Linked DNA regions of Anolis sagrei. The main gene of each other region encodes a partner of the protein of the gene in region 3 in a complex. Links are inferred from orthologs where the notes say so. Each region holds a gene or a part of one and is shown on either strand. Other genes may lie near its edges.

Region 1 (7,445 bases), on a different chromosome or scaffold from region 3:
AAGAACATTCTGAACTCCACCATTGATGGAATTGAACCAAATATGGCACACAGAACTCCCATGACGAACAGAAAATATATATCAGTGATTGGTTGGGGGCGGGGGTGTGTGTGTGTGTGCAAAATACTGTTTGCTTACCGTTGAAAATTACCTAGGGCCACCTCTGCCTTCAAGGTCAATCCAGTCACTTCAAGGATGCCATCCATCCATCTTGCCCTTGGTCGGCCCCTCTTCCTTTTTCCTTCCATTTTCCCCAGCATCATTGTCTTCTCTAAGCTTTTCTTTCTTCTCATGATGTGGGCAAAGTACTTCATCTTGGCCTCTACTATTCTTCCCTCCAATGAGCAGTCAGGCTTTATTGGATCTTCTCGCTGTCCAAGGCACTCTCAGAATTTCCTCCAACACCACAGTTCAAAAGCATCATAGAATCAAAGAGCTGGACGAGACCTCATGGGCCATCCAGTCCAACCCCCTGCCAAGAAGCAGGAATATTGCATTCAAAGCACCTCTGACAGATGGCCATCCAGCCTCTGTTTAAAAACTTCCAAAGAAGGAGCCTCCACCACACTCTGGGGCAGAGAGTTCCACTGCTGAACGGATCTCACAGTCAGGAAGTTCTTCCTCATGTTCAGATGGAATCTCCTTTCTTGTAGTGTGAAACCATTGTTTCGTGTCCTAGTCTCCAGGGAAGCAGAAAACAAGCTTGCTCCCTCCTCCCTGTGGCCTCCTCTCACATATTTATACATGGCTATCATATCTCCTCTCAGCCTTCTCTTCCACGTCTCTCTGGCTGCAAAAGGTCCACTGTATTTCCCTGTACCCCAGGCTCCAAAGTAGGACAAGGCCACATCTCTCTGGCCACTAAAGGCACGCTGCCTCACTATTTCAATGTCTCCCAGGCTCCAAGTGGGACTAGGCCGCGTCTCTCCATCGACACCATGTTTGTTGTTGTTCTTCTGACAGGACTGAGTTACCCTGTAGAAGAGCAGGATGTTTCTAGACAGGCTTAGAACAGGACACTTCACTACTGGCTGTTAAGAACTGTGGGAGTTGGGAGTCCAAAACACCTACGAGTCTGGCCTCAAAACCGGCATGGCTGACTTCGGCTGTTGGTTGTCAGCAATGGTCTGTTTCAGAATTACGGCATCCATGAGGCCCTTTGTCCTTTCAACAGGCCCTTCTCCAAATAGGCCTCTTTCTTGGGACGCAAAACGCCCGCCGTCCCTCCATTTTGTTGCTATTGAGGGTACAAGTGAGCCTAGGCTGCGTCTCTCTGGCTGCATCTATCTTCCTTCGCTCAGTCTTCCCTATGGTCCAGCTCTCACATCCATAGGTAACTATGTGGAATACCATTGCTTTTACTATGCGGATCTTTGTTGCCAGTGTGATGTCTCTACACTATTTTATCAAGTCCTTTACTAGCGACTCTGAGATTGTTTCCCCTCAGACTGGTATAAAATCCACATTGAGCTGGGTTATATGGCAGTGTGGACTCAGATAATCCAGTTCAAAGCAAATATTGTCGATTACCTCGTGTTTAAAAGATGTTAACTTGCGCAATACTGCAGCAGCTTCCTTTTTATATATAGCTTCTTACCACAGGTAGGCCGGGTTTGACCCATCACTGACTCTTGAAATCTTCACTAGAGATCCTGAGTTAACACATCTTTTCCATCTTCATAGCTATGATACTTCATCTTGCTGATGGGAAGCTTCCCACCGGAGTGGAAATCATCTATCAGACAGCTATTTAACCTCAGCAGACTGAAAGCCAAAACCAAGGTTACAACAACATTTATTATAGAACTCCAGTATGTTGATGACAACGTTGTCTGTGCGCATTCAGAAGACCTACAAGTCACTCTAAATACCTTTGCAGAAGCATACGAGCAGCTCGGCCTGTCATTAAACATCGAGAAAACCAGTGCTCTTCCAGCAGTCACCAGCCAGTCCCTCTCCAATGCCAGAAATACAGCTTAATGGTGTAACACTAGAAAATGTCGACCATTTCCGCTACCTTGGCAGCCACTTCTCCACAAAAGTCAACATTGACACTGAAGTACAACACTGCCTGAGCTCTGCGAGTGCAGCATTTTTCTGAATGAAGCAGAGAGTGTTTGAGGACCGGGACATCCGTAGGGATACCAAGGTGCTTGTTTATAAAGCTATTGTCCTCCTAACTCTGCTATATGCCTGTGAGATATGGACTATCTACAGACGTCACATGCAACTCCTGGAACGATTCCATCAGTGCTGCCTCCGGAAAATCCTGCAAATCCCTTGGGAAGACAAGCGGACAAATGTTGGAAGAAGCATGCTGGAAGAAGCAAAGACCACCAGCATTGAAGCGATGGTCCTCTGCCATCAACTCCGCTGGACCGGCCACGTTGTCCGAATACCCAACCACCATCTCACAAAGCAGTTTCTCTACTCCGAACTCAAGAACGGAAAACGGAATGTAGGACAGGAAAAAAGATTTAAAGATGGGCTCAAAGCCAACCTTAAAAACTCTGGCATAGACACTGAGAACTGGTAAGCCCTGGCCCTTGAGCGCTCTAATTGGAGGTCAGCTGTGACCAGCAGTGCTGTAGAATTTGAAGAAGTATGAATGGAGGGCGAAAGAGAGAAACGTGTCAAGAGGAAGGTGCATCAAGCCAACCCCGACCAAGACCACCTTCCACCTGGAAACCAATGCCCTCACTGTGGGAGAAGATGCAGATCAAGAATAGGGCTCCACAGTCACCTACGGACCCACCAGAACACTGATCCTGGAAGACTATCCTACTCAGCCAATGAGGGATTGCCTAAGAGAGGAAGAATTTGGGAGGTGGGCTAGTTGTTAATCCAACTCACAAGCAAAAAAGTAGATAATAGTATTCTATGGAAGTACCAGTTGGGCAACTTGCTTGTGAAGTCGGTAGGAAGTTTAGGAGGGTCGTCTCCAGGAGGAGGGACCCTGAGACCCCACCAAAGAGGGATCGCTACTTTGGCGAGCTAGAGAAGCCTGATTTCAGCCAATTTATTAAATTAAAAAATTCAAAATAAATCTCACCAAAGTTGAAGAAGTGGCACTGAGGTGTTTTTATTAGTGATTCAGCTGAAAAGGATGCAATGTAGCAATCATTCGCCTACAAATCATGCCAGTACAAAGATCAGAGACATTTTTATAATAAGGTTTACAGGCTTAGAAGTTTCAAAATTCCCGCCCTCCGCCCTGATGATTGGCTGACGTGATTCCAGCTGGGAGGGGGCCAAAGCCAACTACAGAGCTCCTCCGCTGTGCAGGAACCAATTGGAGAGCTCCTACCGCCTCAGCGCTCCGGCGAATCAGGAGAGGGGAGGTGGGACGAAGAAGAAACAATGGGTTCATGAATGGATTAATGGATTTCATGCCTGGGGGAATCCTGAGTCTGAGACTTCAGCCTGCAAAGGATGCCAGTCTATTGTCTTTTGATGGGTCTTGTTGATTACTTTATCCGGGTCTTCCTGCCCGCCAGAGAAATTGATTAAAATAATAATTTTGATAAAACATGTGTCCATAGTTCATACTGGGGAAGTTCAAACGTGAAAATAAGTTCATTAGAGCCAAAAATGATGTGTAGGAAGTCCAATAGTCAGAAAAGGAGCTGGGTGATTTCCATTGAGCCAAGGAAGGGATTCTTGCAGCGCCAAGATCAAGCTGGTCCTTAGTCCTTGGAAAACTATAACTCCCTCCAAGGACTGGGGCCTCAAGGCCAGGCTCTTCCCTGAAAGCCTCATGGGGTCCTTGTTGTTGTTAGTGTCTTTGACAAATTGACCAAGACTTAACCCCTTTGTGCAATCTGGTACCCTTGCCCTTTGCAGAACTATAAGTTACCATCCCTTATTGGGGGGACGGACGGACATGCTCGACTTCACTTGTGTTTAAAAGATGTTAACTTGAGCAATCCTGCAACAGCTTCCTTTTTATGTATAGCTTCTTACCACAGAGAGGCCGGGTTTGACTCTTGAAATCTTCACGACAGATCCCGAGTTAACACATCATGAAAGGGAAGCCCAATGATTTTATTTTAAGACTCTTATGGAAAGTGAAATTCAGAAAAAGGAAGGCGTGACTGCAGTCGCATGATGAGAAGTCAACGTCAGACAGTGCAAGCAACCTGAGCAGAGGATCACAGACAATGCTCTGTCCTGAAAGCAGCTTCTTCTTTGGGCAATCTTCCAGCCCGTGTGGCATTACTTCCTCTGTCAAGCCTGGCCCCTCTTTCAGTTATGAGTTCAGTGATGAGACTTCCTGGTCTGTTTGCAATTGCAACACTGGTGAGCTTCGAGAGGGGGAGCAGAATGCATACCTGATGTGCAAGGGGAGCTTGCCTGGTGGATTGTGAGAGCCCCTTGCTTGCAACTGAATAGATTCCAGTTTGGCCATGGCCCTTGTAGAGACAATTCGACTGTGGAGTGAAGGGGTGTCTGCAGCTGACCGCAAAGACTGGCCGGCTGCTCTGTCTGCCTTCACTTCGGTTCCAAATCCTTCCTCCAAAATCTGCTTTAACATTGGCTGCACCCACCTGGTCATGGGGAATTTGGATGAGGCACAGCAGGTAGGTGGCCAAGAAAACTGAAATATTCTCCCCAAAAGCAGCTTAACAAGCCCAACAAGTAAACCTGGATGGCTGCAGGAGTCCTTCCATGGAACTAGTAGGGAGAGATGGGAAAAGAAGCCATTTAAAAACAGGTTAGCTGTGTCCCTGTTATTAAGTCAGGATTTCTGAGCTGCTGTTGGTTTGTGGAAGGCTTTCATGGCTGGAATCACTGGGTTGTTGTACGTTTTTCGGTCCATATGGCCATGTTCTAGAAGTCCGTCGTTTCGCCTAACAACCTCGGGGGATGCTTGCCATAGATGCAGGCGAAACGTCACGAGAGAATGCTTCTAGAACATGGCCATATAGCCCGAAAAAACCTGCAACAACCTGCTCTTGGTTTGATTGGTGAATGACCAAAAAAATATGGACTGCTAGCTAAACTTACTTGTTTTCCTTCCCTGTTCCTACTCTATTTCCTTTTTCATTTTCAAATGGCAGGGGGTTACAACAGATTTAGGGGTGTGCGAAACATTCTGGTTTCAATGTATTGTCAAAGGCTTTCATGGCCGGAATCACTGGGTTGTTGTAGGTTTTTCCAGGTTATATGGCCATGTTCTAGAGGCATTTTCTCCTGACGTTTCGCCTGCATCTATGGCAAGCATCCTCAGAAATAGTGAGGTCTGTTGGAAGTAGGAAAATGGGTTTATATATCTGTAGAATGGCCAGGGTGGGACAAAACTCTTGTCTGCTGGAGCTAGGTGTGAATGTTTCAACTGACCACCTTGATTAGCATTTGATGGCTTGGCAGTGCCTGGGGGAATCTTTTGTTGAGAGGTGATTAGATGTGCCTGATTGTTTACTCTCTGTTGTTTTGCTGTTGTAATTTTAGAGTTTTTTAATATTGGTAGCCAGATTTTGTTCATTTTCATGGTTTCCTCCTTTCTGTTGAAATTGTCCACATGCTTGTGGATTTCAATGGCTCTTCTGTGTAGTGTGACGTGGTCTAGCATTTCTGTGTTCTCAAATAATATGCTGTGTCCATGTTGGTTCATCAAGTGATCTGCTATGACTAACCTTTCTGGTTGAAGTAGTCTGCAGTGCCTTTCATGTTCCTTGATGCGTGTCTGGGCAATGCTGCGTTTGGTGCTCCCTATGTAGACGTGTCCACAGCTGCATGGTACACGGTAGACTCCTGCAGAAGTGAGAGGATCCCTCTTGTCCTTTGCTGAACGTAGCATTTGCTGGATTTTCTTGGTGGGTCTGTAGATAGTTTGTATGTTGTGTTTCCTCATCAGCTTCCCAATGCGGTCAGTGGTTCCCTTGATATATTGCAAGAACACTTTTCCTCAGGGTGGATCTTTGTCTTGACTCTCATGGCTTGTTCTCGTGGCTTGTTTATATAGACTAGCCGTCCCCTGCCAGGCCTTGCTGTGGCCCAGTCTGGTGATCTGGAAAATAAAGTAATGAGAAAGCATTGGTTTCTAATATATGTAATTTTTTTATGCTTGTGGGTAAACAGTATTTCTTATTGTTTCTTTGTCAGTGTTAATGTGAAGATTGTCTGGTTTGCCTACTCTGGAACATGCAACATATTGTCCTTCTTTAGGAGTCCCTTTCAAATCTATGATACTATATCTCTGTGTGTGTGAATCACATCTATCTATATTTATGGCTGGATGGCTCTTTGTCATGAGGGCTTTGATTATGTTTTCTTGCCCTGGTGAAGGGAGTTGGACTGGATAGCATTGAGTATTTTCTCTTGGTCATGGAGGTTCTGTGTGGGAAGTTTGCCCCAATTCTGTCATTGGTGGGGTTCAGAACAATCTTTGATTGTAGGTGAACTATATCCCAGTAACTACAACTCCCAAATGTCAAGGTCTATTTCCCCCAAACCCCATCTGTGTTCATATTTGGGCATATGGAATATTTGTGCCAAGTTTGGCCCAGGTCCAGATCCATCATTGGTTGAATCCATGGTACTCTCTGAATATAGGTGAACTACAACTCCCAAACTCAAGCTCAATGCTCACCAAACCCTTCTGGTGTTTTCTATTCTTCATGGGAGTCCTTTATGCCCCGTTTGGTTCAATTCTATCCTGCTATTTGATTGTAGGTGAACTATAAATCCCAGCAACTACAACTCCCAAAAGACAAAATCAAAAAATTTTGAGTGAAGGATACATTGGGTTGTTAGGTGTATGCTGTCCAAATTTGTTGTCAATTCGTCCAGTGGGTTTTGAGTTATGTTAATACCACAAACGACTGTTACATTTTTATTTATATAGATTGTGCCCCATCAGTTTGTGCTGGCAATGCCTGGCAACCCAGAAGTCCCAAACTGCTGTATCTATAATACTTTTCAAGAGGTATTATTTTTGCTTCCTTCAGGCCTTTACCAGGAGTACCAACAATGACAGACACTTAGCAGTGGCATATTTCCAGCGAGGAATTGTGGCGTACCAGATGGAAAAGTGAGTTGTAACATATTGGGCACCTTAAAAAAGGAGCGGAATGTTTTCTTATTCTGTTGTTCATCCTTGCAACCACTTTCTCCTTAATCTGTTAGAACAGTGCTATGTTTAGTTTCCTATTTTGCAAACCTTATGTACCAGCATGTACCAACAGAAGATTCTCGGATCCATATAAATTGTACAGCTCAGTGCTGTTTTTTAATGCAGAGAGAGACATAGCTGCCCACACAAAACCGTGAAAGTTATTTCTGTGTGTATGTGTCTCTTTCTTAAAAGAATTGGGAATTTAATGTGGCAGACCAGTTCCCTCCTTCATATCAAATTCCCAAATGTTACTTCTATTTTTCCATTTATGGTATATAAATGGAAAAATATTAGCATTAGTGGGATTAGCATAACTCAAAAACCACTG
Region 2 (7,967 bases), on a different chromosome or scaffold from region 3:
AACCATGTCAGTTTGTGGAATTGTATTGCTTTAACTGTGCAAAGGAGCCCCAGAGTTGCAAGCAAGTGATATCCACAGGCAAGCTGCAAGCTCTTACTGAGCTGACTTCAGCTTATGGAAAAGGACATGGTTTTGAGTCACAGCCAAATAATACTGTCAGGAAGGAGATGAATAGTCTTGCAAATGTCCTCCACCCACGACAAGCTATCCCAGTAAAAGGATGTTATGTTCCATAGGGCAATGACTCCCCAGATCCACCACTCAGCACAGCCAACAGCTGCTTTGGTCAACGGCTGTGGCGTTGAGGTTGAGGTAGGGCTAAGCCTTTGGCCTGTTGTAAACTGGTCATGTTCTCAAAGTGTTGGCCTCCACTTGAAATACCCCTTTCCACTACTTTTTGCCCAGAGGGAGTTTGCGAGATTTTGTGATTTATAGGTAAAGAAAAGAGAACATTCTCACATGCTGCTTATTTCTTTCAACAAAACATAGCAGCATTGTACTAAGGCTCCCAATAATAATAATAATAATAATCATCATCATCATCATCATCATCATCATCATCATCATCATCATCTTTATTTATACCCCGCCACCATCTCCCTAAAGGGTACTTGGGACGGCTTACATGAGGCCATGCCCATCAATACAGAAACACAATATAACACAAAAACATAACTGAAAATCAGAAAATAAAATAACATAAAGTACAAAAATACAAAATGTAAATATACAGCACAACAATATAAAATCAAAATATTAAACCACTAAAAATGAACACAATGGACAGGGCCAGTTCAAAGATTAAAAAATTAAAACACTGGGAGATAGGGCAGTGTAAAATATCAGGAAGGGGATCCGGGGGATAAGGTAAGAGTTCATTGCACAAACCAGAGAATAAAGTGTGTCTGAGGACATTTTATGCAGAGTTTGGTCAGGGACAGGGGCGGCTCAACCCATTACACAAAGTAAGCATTTGCAGTATAGTTGATTTTGCCCAGGGGCGCTCTTTAGGCGCTCTTGGGGGAAAATAGACCTTGACATATGTGAGTTGTAGTTACTGGGATGTATAGTTCACCTACAATCAAAGAGCATTCTGAACACCAATGATGGAATTGAACCAAATATGGCACACAGAACTCCCACGACGAACAGAAAATATATATCACTGATTGGTTGAGGGGGAGGGCAAAATACTGTTTGCTTACCATTGAAAATTGCCTAGGGCCGCCTCTGGTCAGGGATTATCATACATTCAGTCATTGAAGGCACATTGGAACAGCCAAGTTTTCAGGCTCCTCCTAAAGATTTCCAGGGTGGGGGCTGGCCTAATATCTCTGGAGAGTGTATTCCAGAGCCAATGGGCCACCACAGAGAAGGCCCTGTCTCTCGTTCCCACAAGTCATGCTTGTGATGAAGATGGGAGCGAGAGAAGGGCCTCTACGGAAAATCGAAGAGGTCGCATGGGTTCGTAGACAGAAATATGGTTGTGCAGGTAGGCGGGCCCCAAACTGTTTAGGGCTTTGTAGATCAAAACCTGCACCTTGAATTGGGCCCGAAAAATAAATGGCAGCCAGTGGAGCTCCTTAAACAGGGGGGTTGACCGCTCCCTGTAGCTCACACCAGTTAGTAGTCTGGCTGCCGCTCGTTGGACCAGTTGGAATTTCTGGGCTGTCTTCAAGGGCAGCCCCACGTAGAGCGCATTGCAATAGTCCAATCTAGAGGTAACTAAGGCATGGACCACCGTGGCCAAATCTGACTTCATGAGATACGGTCATAGCTGGCGCACGAGCTTCAATTGTGTGAAGGCCCTCCCAGCCACCGTCGACACCTGAACTTCAAGCATTAGCGCAGAATCTAGGAGGACACCCAAGCTGTGGACCTGTGACTTCAGGGGGAGTGCAACCCCATCAAGAACAGGTTGCCACCCTATAAGAAGTTATGGGTGAGTGGAGGGGATCACTCTGGGAAAGGGGGAGCCCAAGGTCTCACTATACATAAAAAGCAGTCTGATGACAAATCCCAGACCTACTGCTTCCATGCTACAAGCCGGTTTTGTTTCTGGACTGGAAACTGTTGGTCAGGAGCAGGGTATTTCTCTTAGGGCTACACCTATCTCTTGAGTGTCAGCTCCTGGCCTCTAGCCTATGCACACTGACATCAGGAATTAGATCTCCACAGGTCACAGCAGCCTTGTGCATTTATGGCTTATGGCAAATGCTTCCAGAAAGACAAATGCTTTCATTTTCCCATGCAAAATGAATAGTCACATATGCTCTTTACCATCATCAAGCAGAGAAAGACCAGCCCCGACGCAAGGTCACAAACACCTTGTTTTTGTTTCATTTGAGAGCTTGCTGCACTGTGCTAGCTTTTAATCCAACAGATTCAACATTTTTGTTTCGTATTTTTGGAGGTCACTTGCATTTAACAAAGCAGTATATGAAACATTCATCAGAACCAAACTACATAAAGTGGTCATGGACCACTCAGCAAGGGATAACTGTATTCTGGCCTTGATTCTGTCATCGATGATGCCACACAGAAATAACACATATTCCAGAGTAACATTTAACTGAAACTATCTTTTTGTGGCACTTTTTGTTAAATGTTATTTTTCTGCCCTTGATGTCTTGGATCAATCTTCCCCCTCATGCTTGCATGGCCACTCTAAAAGAGATATGGACATAGAGCAAGAAAGAGCATGCAACCCAGCCAATAGGGTATTAGAGGAAACAAGAAGTTCATCCAAAGCTCAGCCCTTCCCCCACTCTCCCCTGTGCCTCAAAGGCATCATACATACCCATCTCCGACCACCACACACTTGATGGCTTGCATATCTGTGGCCTGGCGATGCTGTGGAGTTCAGCAGGTCTCTCGAATAAAGGTAACAGCTCACCAACGTTGCCGGCAGGAAGTGTTCTACAGTTATATCAAAACCAAAGCTGAATTGAACAGCAGGTTGTGGGTTAGGGAGGAAAGGGAAGAGAGAATGTTTCTCAACCCGCCCACTAGTCCCCAAGGCAGCCCTGACTGTGTGCTGGGGGAAGGGTGTGCAGCTTCAAATATATTTCTCTCTTTGCATGCTGCAGATAGCTAAGCACTTCCTTTTTCATCACACTGTGTGGCTTAGTCTTTGGACACTAAAAAGAGGTTGCAATGCAGTTTCTACACAGGAAGGAGAACCATCCAGAGGAGCAGAAGGAAAGTGGGAGAAAGAACAAACCCCAGAAAGAGATATTTTCCCTCTTTCTCTTTCAGTTGAGAAGAAGATGGCTGGGTGAGAGTGGCTTGCCATTATAGCTGTCTCTGGAGCCTTGGTGAAGAAACACCTTTTCTTCTCTTGTCAAAAGAAATACATTTCTTTTTTAAGATACAGAAAATTACAGTTTTTAAAAATCGTCCACAACATTGTCTCATATTTCCATGAAACCCAGGTGTGCCCATCTTCCTGTGAATAGGTGGGATACACTGGTGGGTGTACATGGAATGCTTTGAGTGGTTCATCCTTCCATTGCTGCCAGCAGATTTGCCCTTGCTGCCATTTTTGCTACTGCTTTTTCTGCCACTGTCCAACACACAACCATTCTTCTTGGAAATAGGAAACTTTGAAAGCATTACACATAGTTTTCTTTTTTTCAGAAGTATGCTTCATACTGTAGTTGCCATGACATGAACTACAACGGGGCCAGTTATCATAAGGGGGAATTCCTCTCCTATTGCAATCATTGTATGCATAATTTCTAAATAGGTTTACTTAGAAACAAGTAAAGCAAACTTAGGAAACTAGCCTTGTGCTCTTCATATTCCATGTTTCCCAGTATAAATGTTGGAATTTGGGCAGCACTAGCAACAGATGTTTTGGTAGTGGACATTCAAGGGAGGGAGAAGAGAAAATGTTTGCATTGTAACTGCAGGCTACATGCTGTCCATCCCTGCTTTAATTTAGGAATACTCTTACTTGCAGTAATACCAGCCCAAGATATGTTGGTCCCTGCAAAGGAAGACCTGGTGATGTCCTCCTAGTCCATATACAAAAGGTGAAAGGACTGGCAGTTAAATCTTATTACTACTTTGGTGAAGGGAAAATCTGCTTCATTCCAGTTGAGTACAGCAACTTAGCTTAGAAGGAATCCCACTGGAGCATTGCAGTACATCCACATACCTGGGAGTTACCCTGGACCACGCTCTGACTTACAAGAAGCACTGCTTGAATATCAAGCAAAAAATGGGTGCTAGAAACAATATCATACGAAAGCTGGCTGGCACAACCTGGGGATCACAACCAGATACAGTGAAGACACCTGCCCTTGTGCTATGCTACTCTGCTGCTGAGTACAAATGCCCACTGTGGAACACATCTCACCATGTCAAAACAGTGAATGTGGCTCTTAATGAAACATGTTGCATTATCCCAGGATGTCTATGCCCTACACCACTGGAGAAATTAAGCTGTTTAGCCGGAATTGCACCACCTGACATCTGCTGGGAAGTAGCAGCCAGTATTGAAAGAACCAAGGCAGTGACATCTCCACCCTTTCCCCTGTTTGGATATCAGCCAGCATGCCAATGCCTCAAATCAAGAAATAGTTTTCTAAGATCTAAAGAGATACTTGCAAGAATACCTCAGCAAGTGAGAGTCCAAAAGTGGCAGGCTAAAACCCAGAGCCTCAAGCCATGGCTGATACCGAATGCGAGACTCCCCCCTGGGCACCCAGGAGACTGGGCAAGCTGGAAGGTGCTAAACAGACTGCGCTGTGGCACCACCAGATGCAGACCCAACCTTAAGAAATTAGGCCACAAAGTGGAGTCCACAAGATGCGGGTGAGTAGAAGAGCAAACCACAGACCACCTATTACAATGCTTTCTAAGCCTTGCCATATGCACAATGGAGGACCTGCTTATAGCAACACCAGAGGCACTCCAAGTGGCCAGTTACTGGTCAAAGGACATTTAGTATAATGCCAAGTTTTTTAAACTTTGTGTTTTAAAAATATATTATACCTGAACCCTCGGTTTGCTTCTGATACGATAAATAAAATAGCTTAGGGTGTACAGGCCAGATTGTGTGGCATGTACAATTCTGTTATTTAACACCTTTTCGCGAGCAACCACTGCCTGTGGTGGTTTCCTCAGCCCAGTATTAAGGCTAGCCTTGACCAGACCCGCTATTCAATAGCCTCTAATGACCTTAACTCTGCACTGTAACATTTCAGCAATCATAGCAAATGAGATACAATTATCATAAGGAAATCAGAAAACCAGCATGCAAGGAAGCAAGAGAGACATGTTACCAATGAGTCATGGAATCATCCACATATCCTACTGTCATACCCAGTTTATATGCATCCATCAGTTAACAAATTCCATAAAAAATTAACCCTGTAATCACAATTACAACTATCACAGCAATTTTCTTTGTCATCTTGTCACATCTTCACAGAGGCACCCTTTATAATTTCCTTGTCTGACACACTAGATAACTAATAATTAGTAAATAATGATACAAAAGAAAGCAACAGGATCACTGTATTTGGATCAACGCATTCACTTTGCTGCCATCATGCATGATTTGTGCCTTGGATGGTCACCTGCTCTTCATTAGAGTCATCTGTTTGAAGGTGCCCTCCACTATTTGAAGATCATCTCAGTCCAAATCCATCTTCCACACATAACTCTACTGGAAGAAGACTTGAAGTTCCTGGATAGCAGATTGAAATTTGTGGTTTTGTGAGATATTTAACCTTCTCTTCCAAATCCCATGAATCCATAGGATGGGGCCGTGTCATTTAATAATTTTGCAGTGTAGCTGGTCTATGTTTCCTTTTCACTGTAGTTGAGATATAGTTCTATTTAAATTGTACATCCCCAAATAAATTAACATACTGTAGATACTCCTGTATAAATTGACCTCCTGTATAAATAGTTGTGGCCATACAACCATTCAAAAATTCCAGAAGTAGTTCCAAGGCACAGAGCTTAGAGTGGGTCAGTTCTTCTTTTAGGTTCTCCTGGAATGAACTAAGCTATTGTTTTTTGCCTCTCTGCTTAGAGAAGGGGGTGGTTGATTTTCTGATATGAGTTAAGCTACAGCATTCACATTGTTGTTGTTCATTCGTTCAGTCGTCTCCGACTCTTCGTGACCTCATGGACCAGCCCACGCCAGAGCTCCCTGTCGGCCGTTACCACCCCCAGCTCCCTCAAGGTCAGTCCAGTCACTTCAAGGATGCCATCCATCCATCTTGCCCTTGGTCGGCCCCTCTTCCTTTTGCCGCATTCACATTAACCTATGGATAAATCAACCCAGTTTTTCAGTTGATTTTTTATTAAAATTTCTAGACTTATTCATGAGTATATACTGTAGGATATGTATGTAGATTTTATGCAAACCTGTGATCCATTTTTTGAGTTAGGCACTTTCCCCTTTTATGTTAGCAGCTGTGGCCCTCTAGATGCTTTTGGACTACCATTCCCTTCAACCCTAGCTAACAACAATAAGGGGTTATGGTAACTGCAGTCCAAAAACATCTGGAGGACAACAGTTGTCAACCTTGATCAAGATGTTCACACACCTATCAGACCTAGAAGACAAAACAGCAAGTCTATGGTGCAAAGAAGGGGCATCTTGGAGCTTTATTTATTTAAAAAGTGATGTGCTATATTTTACCATCAGTAACATTACATCAGGAATTGCTTGGTTATTTCAATAATGGCTTTCATTAATCACTACCATGCCCTACTTAACATTTAATTATCACATAATTAATAATTGCAGTTTCATTTTATATTAGCCAATAATTGCCAAACAGACTCCAGGTCCTCTGTCCATTATGAATCAGTTGTAGAGTCATGGGAAGGCAATATTGCCACTGTGGAAATAGATAATGGCTTTAAATACCACGAGGTTGACAAAGCTTTTCACAGCATTCCTGCTTTCTTGGGAAAAGGGGCAGGAATGTAAAAGATAAAAATGGTAGGGATGTAAAAGATACAAAATAGCAGCAATTCACAAATGGCAAAGTACATGAAATTAAGAGAGCCAAAATCCACGGCAGTCAGTCAAACATAAATCCATAAACATAAAAACAGGAACTTTTTCCAAGCAAACCCTCCCAGGAATGAGGGCAAAGATAGAAAATTTGATTCATGGCCTCCACATATCATGTTGCTGCTGGTGAACAGGTGGTGGACCTGAAGTGAGAAACGAAATTCACTGGGGCCTGAGGCCACTATTGCTGGCCCTATTCCTACACTCTGCTTTTTGGTAATGGTGAGATCAGGTCATTGCCAGAACCAAGGGTAAAAGTATAAGTCTTTACATAGTCACTGGGAATGTGGTACCTGATGTTATGTGTTTCTGCCCCTTTGATCAACAACTAACAATGGCTGCAGAATATGTGACCTTCCAGATGTTAACATGCTGCCTCTTCCATAGTCCCCCACCAATGGCCACTTAGATGGGTTTGATAGGGATTAGTATCCAATATAAGATTGACAGGGAAAAATAAGGGTTGTCAAAGCAGAACTGTGTTAACATAAAGCGTGTAAATACACTGCACATGAATCACAAAACAAAACTGAATGTTACTTAGTTATCTTGTAGTCCTTGAGACAGTAAATTATCTTCAAATACTGTCTAAATTAAGTCCAAATGATATCCAGTTCAAAATATAATCCAAATGATGATACGACAAGGATCCCCGGGTTGAGGTTGCCTTGTTTCGGGGGACTTCACCTTCTTCAGGGTTTGTCTTCTTTTTGAAAGTGGGTGGTTCACACCATACATCCCTAAATGGGTGATAACAACAACATAATAGATATGCCAAAAAAGGCACCCAAACAAAAAACATTCAGTGATAATAACATGCATTCCAGTGAGATAGACTACACACACATTATTACTCGTGCTATAAATGAGACAACGCTGGCCCTACAGTAAGGTCTTCATTAGTGAGCAATGCAGTTACACA
Region 3 (7,978 bases):
TCTGCCCCAGTGATCCTGGTCCCCTTTGCTAGGAAATCCACCCATACTACTCTGTGCTGGTCCCAAAATACTGTGAGCATGACCTTGCCTGATGAGAGTTGGGCACGTGCCTTTGGAGGCGGGGAGTCAGGATGCTTCCATTGCATCGACTGGACTTTAGTCTCAGGGTCAGAGTGATGGACCCAGCTTTCACCTTGTGTGATCAGTCTGTTGAAAAAGTCCTTCTGGTTTCCATGGCACATCATTGACAATAGACACAACGAGCATTCGGCTCATTCCTGCATCTGGAAAGGTGAGCAGCTGGGGACGCAGCGAGTGGATCCTTTATGCATGGGAAGATGGTCTTGGGTGATTTTTTTCCACGGACCCCACACTCATCTTGACATTTTGGGCTAGGTGGCGAATGGTTACGTGGCGATTTTCCAAAATGGTGACCTCCACTTGCTGGATGGTGTGTTCATCAAGAGCAGAGTGCGGTCGCCCTAGAATTGGAGCTGTTTGCACCGAAGTCTGACCACATTGGAACCAAGGATGCCAGTTCTTGACTCCATCTTGTGATGAGGAAGCATCACCATAAACCTCTTCCATCTCATTGAACGTCTCCTTTGGTGTGTGGCCTTGCAAGAAAAGGAACTTGAGGACTGCTCTGCACTTCAGCACCTGTCACATCAAGACCGTTCTCAGTTCTGAGTTGTAAATTGGCATGTCACCTTTAGAGACTTATATCATTGCACATGGGTAGTTTCAGTGTCCTGTGATCAATAGAAGTGGGTCAGGGGAAATCTTTCTTGAACACCACTCATATAATTAGCCCTTTCTTCAGTCCACAATGGAATGGACAATGCCAGTTCTTGAATCCGTCATATGATGGCGAATCATCCCCATAAACCTCTTTCATCTCATCAAACGTCCCCTTTGGTGTGTGGCCTTGCAAGAAAAGGAACTTGAGGACTACTCTATCTGCCACTGGGTCCATTCTCAAACCTCACACCACTTCAGCACCTGTCACATCAAGACTGTTCTCAGTTCTGAGTTGTAAATTGGCACGTCACCTATAGAGACTATCATTGCACATGGGCGGTTTCAGTGTTCTGTGATAAATAGAAGTGGGTCAGGGGAAATCTTTAATGAACGCCCCTCGTATATCCATATATATGGTCATTGCAGGGTTTGGCATCGTCTTCCACCATTTCCCAGCATCCCTTCTGCAAAGGAGGATGGAAGTTGTCATCCAGCAGCACGTGGATGGCTGTAGTTTTCTCTGTTGATCTCTCAATATTTTTAATCCATTCTAACCTTTGAAACCTTCTGCCTTACTAGAGAAAACTCTGGGACTTCCTTTTCCAGAAAATCAAGCAGATAGCCTTCCTATTGCCTTTCTTCCCTTTGCACAAAGTCTCCTGGAGAATGCAGTTGTCCTTTTCCCCCAACTTTGGTTTCATTTTTACTGGGTTGCTTTTTAAAAAGAAGTGAAAGTCGATAATTTTCATCCGAACTCTGGTGTTTTCTTTTGGGGATTTGCTTCTCTTATACCAGTGTTTCTCAACCTTCCTAATGCCGCGACCCCTTAATACAGTTCCTCTTGTTGTCTTGACCCCCAACCATAACATTATTTCCGTTGCTACTTCATAACTGTAATTTTGCTCCTGTTATGAATCGTAATGTAAACAGGATGTATTTTCATTCACTGGACCAAATTTGGCACAAACATCTGATACGTCCAAATTTGAATACTGGTGGGGTTGGGAGGAAATAGATATTGTCATTTGGGAGTTGTATTTGCTGGGATTTATAGTTCACCTACAATCAGAGAGCATTCTAAACTCCACCGATAGAAATGAACCAAACTTGGCACACAGAACTCCTTTGACCAACAGAAAATACTGGAAGGGTTTGGTGGGCATTGACCTTGTGTTTTTGAGTTGTAGTTCGACTACATCCAGAGAGCACTGTGGACTCAGACAATGATGGATCTGAACCAAACTTGGCACAAATACACAATATGTCCAAATGTTAACACTGGTGGAGTTTGGGGAAAATAGACCTTGATATGTGGGAGTTGCTGGGATTTACAGTTCACCTACAATCAAAGAGCACTCTGATCCCAGTCCACAATGGATCTTCACCAAACTTGACAAATTACATAAACAGCCAACATTGAATATTTATAGGGTGGGGGCTGTTTCTGAATTCTGGGATTTGTAGTTCACCAACACCAAAAAGGAAGAGAAGAACAGGTGGAGAGATCGCCAGCCTTTTCTGCCAAAAGGGTTCCTAAGGCTTTTTGTTTTCTGATGGTCTTTGGAGGCCCCTCTGAAACCCCTCTCATGACTCCCCCAGGGATCCTGACCCCCAGGTTGAGAAATACTGTCTTATAAAGATGCAAAATTAACACTCATACCATCACTGAATTGCAGAGGTATAGGATGGGGGACACCAGGCTTGGAAACAATGCAAATGAAAGGGATTGAGGAGAGTCAAGACAGTGATGCAGCAGCGTAAAAGGCCAATGCGATTCTCAGGTTGGGATAGATGGCCTTTGGGGTGCCTTCAAGTGCTAACGGAATATATGCCTGGGAACCCAGTGAAGTCGCTTTCTCAGGAGGTTTCCAAGCAGAGGCTGAATGGCCATCTGTTGGGAGGGCTTGGACTATGTCTTGCAAGGCAGAAGGGGGCTGGCCTTTGGAATATGCCTTCCAGATATATGATTGTATAAATTGTCAGGATAGAAGCATTCAGAATGGAATGGCTAATTAGGGAGCCTCCATACCTGGAGGTCATTAAGTTGGGGCTGGATGGCCATCTGTCAGGAGGGCTTGGATTGTGTCTTTATGGTAGAAGGGGGTTGGAATAGAGGGCCTTTGGGGGACCCTTTCAAATACATTATAGTATACATTTTAAGGATGGAAACATTCACAATGGAATGGCTGGTGATGGCCATCCAGTCCAACCCCCTCCTGCCCTGCAAGGCACCAGCCAAGCCTTAGCAACAGATGGCCATCCAGCTCCAACTTCAGGATCTCCAAAGATGGAGACTCCATCACCAGCCACTGCATTGGGAATGTTTCCATCCTGAACATTTATATCCAGAAGGTTTCCTCCAAAAACCATCTATACCAACCCCCTTCTGCTATACAGGAATGGCTTGAATGATGTCTTCCTATATAGCAGAAGGGGGTTGGTATAGATGGTCTTTGGAGGAAACCTTCTGGGTAGAAGAGTCGATTAATGTTCAGGATGGAAATATTCCCAATGGAGTGGCTGGTGATGGAGTCTCCATTTTTGGAGGTCATGAAGTTGGGGCTGGATGGCCATCTGTCACTAAGGCTTGACTGGTGCCTTGCAGGGCAGGAGGGGGTCAGACTGGACGGCCTTTGGAGGTCCCTCCCATCTCTGGGGTTCCTTTGCAAAAGTTCTTTGCGCCTTATAGGAGGAGGCAGAGGAAAGGAGAACTTGCCCCAGTCATTGCACCTTTGGAGAGGTCGGGTGCCTCTTCTTTTCATGAAGTTGGGGCTGGATGGCCATATGCCAGGATGGCTTGGATGGCGTCTTCCTATATAGCAGAAGGGGGTTGGTATAGATGGCCTTTGGAGGAAACCTTCTGGATAGAAGAGTCAATAAATGTTCAGGATGGAAACATTTCCAATGGAGTGGCTGGTGATGGAGTCTCCATCTTTGGAGGTCGTGAAATTGGGTCTAGATGGCCACCTGCCACGATGGCTTGGATGGTGTCTTCCTGTATAGCAAAAGGGAGTTGGTACAGATGGTCTTTGGAGGAAACCTTCTGGATATAAGAATCGATTAACGTTCAGGATGGAAACATTCCCAATGGAGTGGCTGGTGATGGAGTCTCCATCTTTGGAGGTCGCGAAGTTGGGGCTGGGTGGCCATCTGTTGCTAAGGCTTGGCTGGTGCCTTGCAGGGCAGGAGGGGGTCAGACTGGATGGCCTTTGGAGTTCCCTCCCATCTCTGGGGTTCCCCTCTCCTTTCACAAACTTTGCAAAAGTTCTCTGCGCCTTGTAGGAGGAGGCAGAGGAAAGGGGAACTTCTCCCAGTCGTTGCGCCTTTGGAGAGGTCGGGTGCCTCTTCTTTTCATGAAGTTGGGGCTGGATGGCCATCTGCCAGGGTGGCTTGGATGGTGTCATCTGTCAGGAGGGCTTGAGTGGTGTCTTCCTATATAGCAGAAGGGGGTTGGTACAGAGGGTCTTTGGAGGAAACCTTCTGGATATAAGAGTCGATAAATGTTCAGGATGGAAACATTCCCAATGGAGTGGCTGGTGATGGAGTTTCCATCTTTGGAGGTCATGAAGTTGGGACTGGATGGCCATGTGTTGCTAAGGCTTGGCTGGTGCCTTGCAGGGCAGGAGGGGGTCGGACTGGATGGCCTTTGGAGGTCCCTCCCATCTCTGGGGTTCCTTTGCAAAAGTTCTTTGCGCCTTATAGGAGGAACTTGTCCCAGTCATTGCACTTTTGGAGAGGTCGGGTGCCTCTTCTTTTCATGAAGCTGGATGACCATCAGCCAGGATGGCTTGGATGGTGTCATCTGTCAGGAGGGCTTGGGTGGTGTCTTCCTGTATAGCAAAAGGGAGTTGGTAGATGGTCTTTGGAGGAAACCTTCTGGATATAAGAGTCGATTAATGTTCAGGATGGAAACATTCACAACGGAGTGGCTGGTGATGGAGTCTCCATCTTTGGAAGTCATGAAGTTGAGACTGGATAGTCATCTGTTGCTAAGGCTTGCCTTGTATCTTTCAGGGCAGGAGGGGGCTGGACTGGATGGCCTTTGGAGGTCCCTCCCATCTCTGGGATTCCCCTCTCTTTGGCAAACTTTGCAAAAGTTCTCTGCGCCTTGTAGGAGGAGGCAGAGGAAAGAGGAACTTGCCCCAGTCATTGCGCCTTTGGAGAGGTCGGGTGCCTCTTCTTTCTGCGTCTCTCTTCTCCAAACCGGGGGGAAAGGAAGGGAAGGAGGGGCAGGAAGGGACGTAGCCGGCGGCCCGGACTAGCCCTGCCCTGCTGCTGGGAGCCCTTCCCGGCCGGATCCCTGCCCTCTGGCCCCTTCGCCCCTTCCCCTCCCTTTCTCCCTCCGGAGTGCCAAAGGAGGAGCAGCCATGGGGCGCATCGAGTGGGCCATGTGGGCCAACGAGCAGGCGCTGGCTTCGGGGCTGAGTGAGTCTTTGCAAAGTCGGGGGCTTGTTTCCTTGTTGTTGGGGGAGGAGACCTAGGCATCAATAGAGGGGAGGGGGGTCCAAAGACCCACCCAAAGACAGCCCAAAGGAATGCGCTTTGGCACCACTTGGAGAGCCAGGGCGCAAAGCTATGGACATCAAGAGCACTTGCAGCTTGGCAAAACTTTTTGGTTTGATGGCGACCCATCAAGCCACATTCCCCCACATGATCCCCATAGCACAAACCCATAGGATAGTGTTTCTCAACCTTCCTCATGCCACGACCCCTTAATACAGTTCCTCATGTTGTGGTGACCCCCAACCATAACATTATTTTTGTTGCTACTTCATAACTGTTATGTTGTTACTGTTATGAATTGTCGTGTAAATATCTGATTTGCAGGATGTATTTTCATTCACTGGACCAAATTTGGCACAAATACTTGATACGTCAAAATCTGAATACTGGTAGGGTTGGGGGAGGGATTGATTTTGTCATTTGGGAGTTGTAGTTGCTGGGATTTATAGTTCACCTACAATCAAAGAACATTCTGAACTCTACCAATGATGGAATTGAACCAACTTGGCAAACAGAATACCCATATACAACAAAAAATACTGGAAGGGTTTTGTGTGCAGTGGCCTTGTGTTTTGGAGTTGTAGTTCTCCTACATCCAGAGAGCACTGTGGACTCAAACGACGGATCTGGAACATACATGGCATGAATACTCAATATTTCCAAATGTGAATACTGGTAGAGTTTGGGGAAAATAGACCTTGACATTTGGGAGTTGTAGTTGCTGGGATTCATAGTTCACCTACAATCAAAGAACATTCTGAACCCCACCAACATTGGAATTGAACCAATTTGGCAAACAGAATACCCATATACAACAAAAAAATACTGGAAGGGTTTGGTGTGCAGTGGCCTTGAGTTTTGGAGTTGTAGTTCACCTACATCCAGAGAGCACTGGTGGGCTCAAACAATGATGGATCTGGACCAAACTTGGCATAAATACTCAATATTTCCAAATGGAGTTTGGGGAAAATAGACCTTGACATTTGGGAGATGTAGTTGCTGGGATTTATAGTTCACCTACAATCAAAGAGCATTCTGAATCCCACTAATGATAGAATTTGGCCAAACTTCCCACAGAGAACCCCCACGACCAACAGAAAATACTGTGTTTTCTGGTGGTCTTTGGTGACCCCTCTGACACCCCCCTCACGACCCCCCTAGGGGTCCTGACCCCCAGGTTGAGAAACGCTGCTATAGGAGTTCAAGTGATGCCAAACTGCATTAATTCTACAGTGCGGATGTGCACAAAATGCTCATTGTTTCATATCTTCCTTTCTGTGCATTTTGTCTCCAAACAGCAACTTTGGGCATGACTCTTTGAAGTGCTCCATTCTGTGAAGTTGTAGTATTCCAAGGCTTTTGAGCCTTTTCCTGCCGAAAGAGCAATTAATTTATCGTGTCAGAAGCACATTGAGGGTACAGTTAAAATGCATTTAAAGTTGTTTTTTTTTAAAAAAAAAAAAACGTGGCATGATGCTAAATGGGTTGTTGTGATTTTCCAGGCTGTATGGTCATGTTCCAGCAGCATTCTCTCCTGATGTTTCGCCTGCATCTGTGGTAGGCGTCCTCAGAGGTTGTGAGGTCTGACAACCTCTGAGGATGCCTGCCATAGATGCAGGCGAAACGTCAGGAGAGAATGCTGCTGGAACATGGCCATACAACCCAGAAAACTCACAACAACCCAGTGATTCCAGCCACGAAAGCCTTCAACAATACATTATGTGAAATGTTGTTTGATCAGAAGCTGGCCTCTTGGAATGCCTTTGGTTTTGCTGTGAGAAGGTCCTCCGTTGTACATGTGGCAGGGCTCAGGCCACACTGTAATAGGTGGTCTGTGATTTGCTGTTCTCCACACTCGCATGTCATGGACTTAACTTTGTGGCCCCATTTCTTAAAGTTAGCTCTGCATCTCGTGGTGCCAGAGCACAGCCTGCTCAGTGCCTTCCAAGTCTCCCAGTCTTCTGTGTGTTCAGGAGGGTGTCTCTCATTTGGTCTCAGCCACTAATTAAGGTGCTGGGTTTTAGCCTGCCACTTTTGGACTCTCGCTTGCTGAGGTGTTCCTGCAAGTATCTTTGTAGACCTTAGGAAGCTGTTTCTTGAATTAAGGCATTGGCATGCTGGCTTGATATCTGAACAGAGGATAGACTGGAGATGTCACTGCCTTGGTCCTTTCATTTCTGGCTGCTACTTCCCGGCAGATATCAGGTGGTGCAATACCGGCTAAACAGTATAATTTCTCCAGTGGTGTAGTGCATAGACGTCCTGCAATAATGCACCATGTTTCATTAAGAGCCACATCAACTGTTTTGACATGGTGTAATGTTTTCCACACTGGGCATTCGTATTCAGCAGCGGAGTAGCCAAGTGCAAGGGCAGGTGTCTTCACTGTGTCTAGTTATGATCCCCAGGTTGTGCCAGTCAGCTTCCATACGATATTATTTCTAGCACCCATTTTTTGCTTGCTGGTAAAGCAGTGTTTCTTGTAAGTCAGGGCACAGTTCAGGGTCACTCCCAGGTGTCTGGGTGTGCTGCAATGCTCCAGTGGGATTCCTTCCCAGGTCATCCTCAGAGTTCGGGATGCTTGTCTGTTCTTAAGGTGAAAAGCATATGTCTGTGTTTTGGATGGATTAGGAATCAGTTTTCCCTGTAAAAGGCAGTAAGAGAACCTAAAGCTTTGGAGAGTTTTTGTTCAACCATTTCAAAGCTCCCTGCTTGAGCAGTGATGTCGCCATCG

Evidence for each region.
Region 1: CYBA (region 3) and NCF2 share a complex: the UniProt entries of both Homo sapiens proteins name them as parts of the phagocyte NADPH oxidase complex. The link is inferred for Anolis sagrei from reciprocal best matches to the Homo sapiens genes CYBA and NCF2.
Region 2: CYBA (region 3) and RAC2 share a complex: the UniProt entries of both Homo sapiens proteins name them as parts of the phagocyte NADPH oxidase complex. The link is inferred for Anolis sagrei from reciprocal best matches to the Homo sapiens genes CYBA and RAC2.

What each region holds. Positions count from the first base shown.
Region 1 is NC_090024.1:122,473,216-122,480,660, forward strand, and holds the start of NCF2 (neutrophil cytosol factor 2), read left to right. Parts: upstream 1-4,379; 5' UTR 4,380-4,406; coding exon 4,407-4,580; intron 4,581-6,950; coding exon 6,951-7,033; intron 7,034-7,445. UniProt on the Homo sapiens protein: Subunit of the phagocyte NADPH oxidase complex that mediates the transfer of electrons from cytosolic NADPH to O2 to produce the superoxide anion (O2(-)).
Region 2 is NC_090025.1:165,897,693-165,905,659, reverse strand, and holds the start of RAC2 (ras-related C3 botulinum toxin substrate 2), read right to left. Parts: upstream 3,048-7,967; 5' UTR 2,836-3,047; coding exon 2,801-2,835; intron 1-2,800. UniProt on the Homo sapiens protein: Plasma membrane-associated small GTPase which cycles between an active GTP-bound and inactive GDP-bound state.
Region 3 is NC_090028.1:26,681,208-26,689,185, reverse strand, and holds the start of CYBA (cytochrome b-245 light chain), read left to right. Parts: upstream 1-4,884; 5' UTR 4,885-5,108; coding exon 5,109-5,166; intron 5,167-7,978. UniProt on the Homo sapiens protein: Subunit of NADPH oxidase complexes that is required for the NADPH oxidase activity that generates, in various cell types, superoxide from molecular oxygen utilizing NADPH as an electron donor.